Saccharomyces cerevisiae S288C: one gene and its partners. The protein of the gene in region 3 interacts with the protein of the main gene of each other region in a biochemical or structural test. Each region holds a gene or a part of one and is shown on either strand. Other genes may lie near its edges.

What was found.
Region 1: the proteins of MTR2 (region 3) and LSG1 form a complex in vitro, tested with the Saccharomyces cerevisiae proteins (one study listed by BioGRID).
Region 2: the proteins of MTR2 (region 3) and YVH1 form a complex in vitro, tested with the Saccharomyces cerevisiae proteins (one study listed by BioGRID).

What each region holds. Positions count from the first base shown.
Region 1 is NC_001139.9:312,954-317,148, forward strand, and holds LSG1 (ribosome biogenesis GTPase LSG1), read left to right. Parts: upstream 1-1,677; coding exon 1,678-3,600; downstream 3,601-4,195. Other genes in the region: SEH1 (Seh1p), read left to right, coding at 281-1,330. UniProt on the Saccharomyces cerevisiae protein: GTPase required for the nuclear export of the 60S ribosomal subunit. Acts by mediating the release of NMD3 from the 60S ribosomal subunit after export into the cytoplasm.
Region 2 is NC_001141.2:404,262-407,851, reverse strand, and holds YVH1 (tyrosine protein phosphatase YVH1), read left to right. Parts: upstream 1-1,884; coding exon 1,885-2,979; downstream 2,980-3,590. Other genes in the region: DAL1 (allantoinase), read left to right, coding at 210-1,592; MND2 (Mnd2p), read right to left, coding at 3,087-3,590. UniProt on the Saccharomyces cerevisiae protein: May be directly involved in signal transduction and/or cell cycle regulation. It is necessary for maintaining growth rate or spore germination. Could show both activity toward tyrosine-protein phosphate as well as with serine-protein phosphate.
Region 3 is NC_001143.9:92,199-94,970, forward strand, and holds MTR2 (Mtr2p), read right to left. Parts: upstream 1,101-2,772; coding exon 546-1,100; downstream 1-545. Other genes in the region: DNA-binding transcription repressor ASH1, read left to right, coding at 2,301-2,772. UniProt on the Saccharomyces cerevisiae protein: Affects mRNA transport from the nucleus to the cytoplasm.

The DNA of each region.
Region 1 (4,195 bases), on a different chromosome or scaffold from region 3:
CATTTTATTTTGCATGTATTATACTTCCAGCACCCGGTGTGCATTATATGTAACTTTAGAAATAATCTTTTGTATATTATTCGCGATTGAATGTGCGTGCTGCATTATCAACCAAGTTTTAATATATCTGTTTCTCTTATTTATTGTTAGTTAAGTCTTCGGCAAAACGATGGAAAAAATCATGAACTGAATAGAGACAAGTAAACCAAATTATAAACAAGGTTTCCCTTCTGAAGAGATACTAAGGAAGAAGAAGAACGACCCAATAATATTTCTGAATATGCAACCATTTGATAGTGGGCATGATGATTTAGTTCATGATGTCGTTTATGACTTTTACGGAAGACATGTGGCAACATGCTCTTCTGATCAACATATTAAAGTTTTTAAATTAGACAAGGACACGAGTAATTGGGAACTCAGTGACTCATGGAGAGCTCACGACAGTAGTATCGTGGCCATTGATTGGGCCAGTCCAGAATATGGGCGCATCATTGCTTCAGCCTCTTACGATAAGACGGTAAAATTATGGGAAGAAGATCCCGACCAAGAAGAATGCTCTGGCCGTCGTTGGAACAAGCTGTGTACCCTGAATGATTCCAAAGGATCACTTTATAGTGTAAAATTTGCGCCAGCGCATTTGGGCTTAAAATTAGCTTGTTTGGGTAACGATGGAATCCTCAGACTTTATGATGCCTTAGAACCTTCTGACCTAAGGTCATGGACACTGACTTCTGAGATGAAAGTGCTATCTATACCACCAGCAAATCATTTACAGTCTGATTTTTGTCTCTCTTGGTGTCCTTCGAGATTTTCTCCTGAAAAGCTCGCAGTCTCTGCATTGGAACAAGCGATTATATACCAAAGGGGTAAAGACGGTAAACTTCACGTTGCAGCAAAACTTCCCGGTCATAAAAGTTTAATAAGAAGTATCAGCTGGGCTCCTTCCATTGGTAGATGGTATCAACTCATTGCAACAGGTTGCAAAGATGGTAGAATTAGAATTTTCAAAATCACAGAAAAACTAAGTCCCCTGGCCTCAGAGGAGTCTTTAACTAACTCAAATATGTTTGATAATAGTGCTGATGTTGACATGGATGCACAGGGCAGATCAGACTCAAATACCGAAGAGAAAGCTGAGCTACAATCAAACTTGCAAGTTGAACTTCTAAGCGAGCATGATGACCATAATGGCGAAGTTTGGTCCGTGTCTTGGAATTTAACGGGTACAATCTTAAGCAGTGCTGGGGATGATGGGAAGGTACGTTTATGGAAAGCCACTTATTCAAATGAATTTAAGTGTATGTCAGTAATTACTGCCCAACAATAAATAAGAATATATGTATACATAACATTATATATTGGTACTTTATACGTGTGCATTATTCTGTATAATACGAGGCAACAGATGAATCAAGAAAGATGATGCTTTTAAAAAGCTCTTACAAATATAATGATATTACATCAAATGATATTATTATTCTTGATATTGGGTATTCTTTCGAATTATATCAAGCTTCCCTTCCCTCGCCTTTTCGCCTGGAAATTTTTCAATGCCGAGATTAAAAAATTTGTCAATGAAAATGCATTCTACTACTTAATAAAGAGGTGATGAGCTTATAAGCCAACTTCTTTTAAACACAAAACTAAATCTGATATTGAGGACCCCCACCAACTATGCCACCAAAAGAAGCTCCCAAGAAATGGAAGGCGCCAAAAGGGCCAAAACCTACCCACCGTAAAAATAAAAATAAGCTTGAATTAGGCAGAGCTATTAAATATGCACGTCAAAAAGAAAATGCCATCGAGTATTTACCTGATGGTGAAATGAGGTTCACTACCGATAAGCATGAGGCCAACTGGGTTAAATTAAGATCTGTAACTCAAGAATCAGCTTTAGATGAATTCTTGAGTACAGCTGCACTGGCAGACAAAGATTTCACGGCCGATAGACATTCAAATGTTAAAATTATTAGAATGGATAGCGGTAATGATTCTGCGACATCTCAAGGGTTTTCTATGACTAATGAGCAGCGTGGAAATCTTAATGCGAAGCAAAGAGCGCTTGCTAAGGATTTGATTGTTCCAAGGAGGCCTGAATGGAACGAGGGCATGTCCAAGTTTCAGCTTGATAGGCAAGAAAAGGAAGCGTTTTTAGAATGGAGAAGAAAATTGGCACATTTACAAGAAAGCAATGAAGACTTGTTGTTAACACCGTTTGAAAGAAATATCGAAGTTTGGAAACAGTTATGGAGAGTTGTTGAAAGATCAGATTTAGTTGTTCAAATTGTAGATGCGAGGAATCCGTTGCTGTTTAGATCTGTCGATTTAGAAAGATATGTAAAAGAGTCAGATGACAGAAAAGCAAACTTACTGCTAGTTAATAAAGCAGATTTATTGACCAAAAAGCAACGTATCGCTTGGGCAAAGTACTTTATCTCCAAGAATATTTCGTTCACGTTTTACTCTGCATTGAGAGCTAATCAATTATTGGAGAAACAAAAGGAAATGGGGGAAGATTATAGAGAACAAGATTTCGAGGAAGCTGATAAAGAAGGGTTCGATGCTGATGAAAAAGTTATGGAAAAAGTTAAAATTCTGTCCATTGACCAACTGGAAGAATTGTTTTTATCAAAAGCTCCAAACGAGCCTTTATTGCCACCTCTGCCCGGTCAACCTCCACTGATTAATATTGGTTTGGTTGGTTATCCAAATGTAGGTAAATCCTCCACTATTAATTCGCTCGTGGGTGCCAAGAAAGTTTCTGTTTCATCCACGCCTGGTAAAACAAAACACTTCCAAACTATTAAGTTATCTGATTCTGTCATGCTTTGTGACTGTCCCGGTCTTGTCTTCCCAAACTTTGCATATAACAAGGGTGAGCTCGTGTGTAATGGTGTTTTACCTATTGATCAATTACGTGATTATATTGGTCCAGCAGGTTTAGTAGCAGAAAGAATACCAAAGTATTACATTGAAGCGATTTATGGTATCCATATTCAAACCAAATCAAGGGATGAAGGTGGGAATGGGGATATACCAACTGCTCAAGAATTGTTAGTCGCATACGCCAGAGCTCGTGGTTATATGACTCAAGGTTACGGTTCTGCTGATGAACCAAGAGCAAGTCGTTATATATTGAAAGATTACGTCAATGGGAAATTACTGTATGTCAACCCTCCGCCCCATCTAGAGGATGATACACCTTACACTAGAGAAGAGTGTGAAGAATTTAACAAAGATTTATATGTGTTCGACAGATTACCGGACACCAGAAAGGAGCAAGTGCAAAATGCTGCTAAGGCTAAAGGCATTGATATCGTGGATTTAGCTCGTGATTTGAATCAGCTAACGTTTTCAGCTCACACTGGTGGTGACACACAAAAAGAAGCCAAATCTGTTACGCACGGTGGTAAACAAGCTGCATTGTACAATGCCGCTGAGGACTTGGATAGAGACTTCTTCAAGATGAACAACGTCGAAGGTAGATTAAGTACACCATTCCACAAAGTTCAAAATAGTTCAGCTGGTAAGAGACATAACAAAAAAAACAAAAGTAAAAATGCGAAAAGCAAAGTTTTTAGCATTGAAAATAATTAGCGGTAACTAACATATATCTTCTCAAAAAAACTGTGTACTATTATCTTTTCATCTCGCCAATTAATGACAGCGTTATTTGAGAATAGACCTAAGATAATAAAACTATGTTCGTTACCCGGACAAATTTTCTTGGAAGAATTTTTGAGTCCTAGAGATATTATAAAACGGCCCTCTATTAATTTGCTCTTTCTTTCCTCAGTTTAATTCTTCTTTCGAATAAAAAATAAAAATATCATGGCTCTTCAACACATTTCAACATGTTCAAGTAATTTGTGTTAGTGGATGACCATTTAGGGGCTGCTGGCCTGGTTACCGGGAGTTTTTCTTGGATCCAAGCTAGCTTTTCCGTCTGATTATCCTTAAGCTTCACAAATTACAATTTTTCCCACGCATTAAGAAATAAGCTCAAGATGCCTAAAATAAGTTCTATCCCGCCTTTTTTCGCTAACAATGACTGAGTATTCCCACAGTCTATAGTTTGATAGTAGATGGGCGGAAATTTTTCTCATATATTTACTTTTTATAGGAGAGTATATTTACGTACGTATAGTGATTGCATGTAGTTGCTCCCTATATCTTGTCATATGAGCGTGAT
Region 2 (3,590 bases), on a different chromosome or scaffold from region 3:
AAATTGCGGTGCTTAATTATCTATATAGAGGAGGCATATCTCATCGAAGGGGACAATGATGAGGTAACGCAAAAGTGATGAGTTTCTACTGGTATCTTGTAATTGAAGGTACCCCTTTTTCTTTTAGCTATCTTTAATTAGGTTAGAAAAGTGTATATTTCGCAAAAACGTATAGGCAAAAAAAAAGTGAAATACTGCGAAGAACAAAGATGCCTATCAATGCCATCACTTCCGACCATGTCATTATCAATGGTGCAAATAAACCTGCGACTATTGTGTATTCGACCGAATCAGGCACGATTCTGGATGTTTTAGAAGGCTCCGTGGTTATGGAGAAAACTGAGATAACCAAATATGAAATACATACGCTGGAGAACGTATCTCCATGTACAATTCTGCCTGGACTTGTGGACTCTCATGTTCACTTGAACGAGCCCGGTAGGACTAGCTGGGAAGGATTCGAAACTGGAACTCAAGCTGCTATTAGTGGCGGGGTCACAACGGTGGTTGATATGCCGCTAAATGCTATTCCTCCCACAACAAATGTGGAGAATTTCCGAATTAAATTGGAAGCTGCTGAGGGCCAAATGTGGTGCGATGTTGGGTTTTGGGGTGGACTGGTACCACACAACTTGCCAGACTTAATTCCGCTTGTCAAAGCTGGCGTTCGCGGGTTCAAAGGATTCTTGCTTGATTCTGGTGTGGAAGAATTCCCTCCAATTGGCAAAGAATATATAGAAGAAGCCTTGAAGGTCTTAGCCGAGGAGGATACCATGATGATGTTTCATGCTGAGTTGCCCAAGGCACATGAGGACCAACAGCAACCCGAGCAAAGCCATCGTGAATATTCTTCGTTTTTGTCCTCGAGGCCGGATTCTTTCGAAATAGACGCCATCAATTTGATTCTCGAATGCTTGAGAGCCAGAAATGGACCAGTTCCTCCTGTACATATAGTTCATCTGGCATCAATGAAAGCAATTCCCTTGATCAGAAAGGCACGTGCGTCAGGGCTACCAGTCACAACAGAGACTTGTTTCCACTATTTGTGTATTGCTGCAGAGCAGATCCCAGACGGAGCCACCTACTTTAAATGTTGTCCACCCATCCGCTCTGAGTCTAATCGCCAAGGCCTATGGGACGCTTTGCGTGAAGGTGTTATAGGCTCAGTAGTGAGCGACCATTCGCCATGCACCCCTGAGTTGAAGAACTTGCAAAAAGGTGACTTTTTCGATTCTTGGGGAGGAATCGCTTCCGTCGGACTAGGTTTGCCATTGATGTTTACCCAAGGCTGCTCTTTGGTCGATATCGTTACATGGTGCTGTAAAAATACATCCCATCAGGTAGGACTATCTCACCAAAAAGGCACTATAGCTCCCGGGTACGATGCTGATTTGGTGGTATTTGATACTGCAAGTAAACATAAAATAAGTAATTCAAGTGTCTACTTCAAAAACAAATTGACTGCCTACAACGGGATGACGGTCAAGGGCACAGTTTTGAAAACCATATTAAGAGGCCAGGTGGTATATACGAATGCCAACGGAGTCTCGAAAACACCATTGGGTCAAACTTTGCTTGATTCTAGACGTTAAACTAAAGTTGCAAATTTTTATTAAAGAAATTCTATAGAAATAAAAGAAACAAATTTATAAAAAGTTATTTACACACATACATATATTAACCACTCTTAGTTTGAGATGACACAACTTTTAATGATCTACAATATATCCATCTGGGTCTCCACGGCTGCAATTTTGAAATTTTCTTAGCGCTAAAAAAAAGAAATCTAACTGAAAAAAAAAATTATACCTCAGCTCATCGAATGCATCTAATACAGGTATAACGCAGAGAAAGCAGTAAAAGCAGCAAGAAATTACAGGGAAGATGGCTGGAAATGCAAACTCAGTAGACGAGGAAGTTACCAGGATATTAGGAGGCATATATCTTGGCGGAATCCGTCCAATTATTGACCACAGACCATTGGGTGCAGAATTTAACATTACTCATATTCTTTCTGTTATCAAATTCCAGGTCATTCCAGAGTATCTAATAAGGAAAGGTTACACGCTAAAAAACATACCCATCGATGATGATGATGTGACTGATGTGCTGCAATACTTCGATGAAACGAACCGATTCATTGATCAATGCTTGTTCCCCAATGAAGTTGAGTATTCGCCCAGATTAGTAGATTTCAAGAAGAAACCACAACGTGGTGCTGTTTTTGCTCATTGTCAAGCAGGACTCTCGAGATCTGTAACCTTCATAGTAGCCTACCTAATGTATCGTTATGGATTGTCACTATCAATGGCTATGCACGCTGTCAAGAGGAAGAAACCGAGTGTTGAGCCAAACGAGAATTTCATGGAACAATTACATCTCTTTGAGAAAATGGGTGGAGATTTTGTCGATTTCGACAACCCAGCCTATAAGCAGTGGAAGCTGAAGCAATCTATCAAGTTAGATCCATCGGGCAGCGAATTGGTCTCCAATTCTGGAATGTTTAAAGATTCGGAGTCGTCGCAAGACTTGGATAAATTAACTGAAGCTGAGAAGAGCAAGGTCACCGCAGTGAGATGTAAGAAGTGCAGAACCAAATTGGCGTTATCTACATCTTTCATCGCGCATGACCCACCAAGTAAGGAATCATCAGAGGGACACTTCATCAAGAGGGCCGCCAACTCCCATCGTATTATTGATATTCAAGAGTCACAAGCAAATTGCTCTCATTTTTTCATCGAACCTTTAAAATGGATGCAACCTGAACTACAAGGCAAGCAAGAGTTAGAAGGGAAGTTTTCATGTCCAGGCTGTTCAAGTAAAGTTGGCGGTTACAACTGGAAAGGATCTAGGTGCAGTTGTGGTAAGTGGGTCATCCCCGCTATCCACCTGCAAACTAGTAAAGTGGATCAATTTCCCTTACAATCCACTGCTTTGCCCAACATGGTTAATTTTGAATCCGAGAAAGTAAATAGATAACTTAGATATAATCAGCAAATATAACTACCACTAAGCACTTTTGGTGCACTTGTGTATGTATACATCTTAATAGATAGATGAATTTTGGTGCTGAGGAGAGCATTTTTCTAATCTTGACCTCGTTGCTGCCTGGCTCGTCTCTCCATTAATTCATCTAAACTAGTTATCCTCTCCCTAGTCCAATTCCTCCAATTACTCGCTAGATCAGGTGTAATCCCACCATAAGAAGTCGGCTCTTGGCTGTATTCGCTATTATAATCATGCTCTCTTCCCACGTCATCTTCAAAATCCGGATTCATGTCCAGTTCTACCTTTGAATCTTCTCCGTCGTTATCACTGTCAATATCATATGGGTTTCTATCTAAATGATGAGCCTCTTCCACAAACTGTTGTAGGGAGCGTGACAGTGAAGTGGGTCTCATTAATAAGTCATCCGGCACAATTCTCTCTCTCTGAACTTCTATACCTTCCACACCTTCCCCCGGCACTTCTCCCTCCTCATTATCATCCTCATCTACAACATGATCGAACTCTGCATCATAATCGTATGATATTTCATCCTCCTCTGATACTTCCTCATTTTGCGAATTATTAGCACTGTTATTCGCAAG
Region 3 (2,772 bases):
CAGATATTAAAAAGTTTAGATGTAGGTTTTAGCGGTAACAGTTATATAAATCGTGTTTCTTCTCTTGATGAAACAAAAAAATGCTAGAAAAACTTTGTCGTTTCTTACTTTTGGTGCGCTTTGCAGTTTTCGTGGCTAGACTTAGAATCATTTCTCCTCAGATTTCTTGATTAAAGTTTGGTGCGAAGCCCTACTCTAACATTGGTGTTCTTCTTTTCATTCACGCAAGTTAAGTCCAGGAAGGTGAGCAAATGCTCATCCTTCTGTTCATGCGTGACGGCTGAATTATCCTTATCTGGCGTACCCGTGCAGCCGTTTCCGTGCCTCGGTTCCTCCGAGATATCCTTAGGGACCGCCAGGGACCATGATTGCGTCAACTGTTGTCACCGCTCCAGAGGATCCTCTGTAACCTTTTCAACCATAAAAATAGAAAGGGCACAGGGTTGGGGTATTTGAATTTTTTTTTTGGGTTTTTTCGTATTACTTATTACTTACCTTCTTTTCTATATAATTTTGTTTTTCCCTGGTAGAGCGGAATCTTCCCACTAAATTTTTAGCAGAGAATCCTCGGGTTTGTAAACCATGTTATAGTTAAACCCCGATATTACACCATTAAAATCATTTCTAAATATGCGGTCGTCGATGATCAGCTGCAGGGAAATGCCAAAATATGGACCCCATAGAGGTCTTGGCTTGTTCATATCGTTGGGTCGATTTCTGTTCCCAGTGTTATTTGGTTGAATGGGAACAGTCGCGTCTTGCCCCATCTTGTCTCTGCCGCTTTCGTCGAATCTGACTTTGCAATTGACGTTGCATATCAACGTGCCGGATCCCGGAATAGCGTGATAGTCTACTCCTGTTAGGGCATGTTGTGTTTGTACGACCTGGTTTTGCCACATTTGCAGAAAAACTGTTGCTTGCGCGAAGGGGGTAGCATTAAATATTATTCTGCAGTTGTTTGGATTAAAAAGCTGTACGAATTGGGCCAATTTGTTGGAGTCCGGATCATCCAAATGCGCTAATATCTTCTTCGTAAATGTGGCCGTTATTTGTGCTTGATTTGCGTCATTCATTACCATAGTATTACTATTGGTGTTCATATTTCTGTTATTACTGTTATTAGTTTGGCGTTTTGCCTGACGATCAGCCTGGTGGGGCCAAGTATATACTATAAAAACAGGTTAGTTACTTGCTCTATGCGTTTGCGCATCCTCTTTTTACTTTTTTTTTTTCAGTAAAGCCTAAGCATAAATCGTTTTATACGTACGACACGTTCAACTTTTCTTGGTTAGTAGTGGCAATCTCTGCAATACATACAGGGAGTCATGGTCTATCATCTTGTCCAATCAAAGAAGCATCGGTTCAGATCGAGCAAACTGTAGGGAGAAAGGAAAGTAGAAATGCAGAGTGTGCTATATGTCCAATCTCGGTTTTGTAGTTTGGATGTCATTAGAGATCTACCACCCAACCGGCTGCTTTCATGTGGAACAGAAAAGAAATCGGGGCGCTTCCTCTTCTGTATTCCTTTAATTAACGTTTTTATTCAGCCATCTAACCATCATACCCCCATACGGTAACAAAACCTCTTCTAAGAAAAGAAGTCTCTGCTCCTCCGCCATCTTATTTTTATTCGCTGCGCGCGTTTATTGTCGCATCGCTAGCCAGCAAAAAGTTGGTTGCCTTTTTTTACCTAAAAAAGACACATCTAACTGATTAGTTTTCCGTTTTAGGATATTGACGCCAAGCGTGCGTCTGATTTCTACGATATGTCTCTAATTTTGGAAGGGCCATTTTATTTTTGAGGATTGGGCTGATCATTTTCCTTACGTGGATTGAGCCAGCAATACAGATCATTATTAAACTGTTTTGTACATGATGTTAGTATATAATCGTAAAGCTTTTCTAATATGTATACCTTATACATGGAACTCCACAGAACTTGCAAACATACCAAAAATCCTTTATTCTTGTTCACTCATTTTACATCAAAAAATAATATTTCAGTTATTAAGGAAAATAAAAAAATAGATTAGAGAAGCATTTTGAAGAAATAGTATATTCTTTTATTGAACCTAAGAGCGTGATATTTTTACTCGAAATAAAATACGAAAAATCTATACACTCATCTTTCCGACTACTATTGGCTCCTGCTCAAAAAAAGAGGGAAAAAAAGCTCCAAAATTCTATCTTTTCCTATCGCTCCTGTCCTATCCTTATTACGTTCATTACTATTTTAATACTATCCATTCTTTTATTTTCAGTCTAAAAAAAACATTTCTCATAACGGGAAAAGCAAAAAAATGTCAAGCTTATACATCAAAACACCACTGCATGCATTATCTGCTGGTCCGGATTCTCATGCAAATAGCTCCTATTATGACAATCTTTTATTGCCTTCATTTTCCAATTTATCCAGTAATATCAGCAGGAACAATATCACAACCGATAACAATATAAATTCAGCAAGTCCTAGGAAGTATTCGTTTCATTCGCTCAATGTGTCGCCAATTCTTTCCCCAATATCTTTGGCTAACGAAATACTTGGAAAAAAATCAAATACTGCACCAGCATCGCCACATCATATGGATTACAATCCAATTTCCTCATTAACACCAGGCAATTCACCAGAATTCAACAAGGCAAGCTTATCTCAGATTAGTTTTACAAATCCATTGAACTATGGGTCTGGCTTAGGTTTTTCCTCTAATTCACAACCTCGACTACCATTGTTAGACAGGCTATCGTCCGTCTCTTTATCTAAGAGACCGGAGC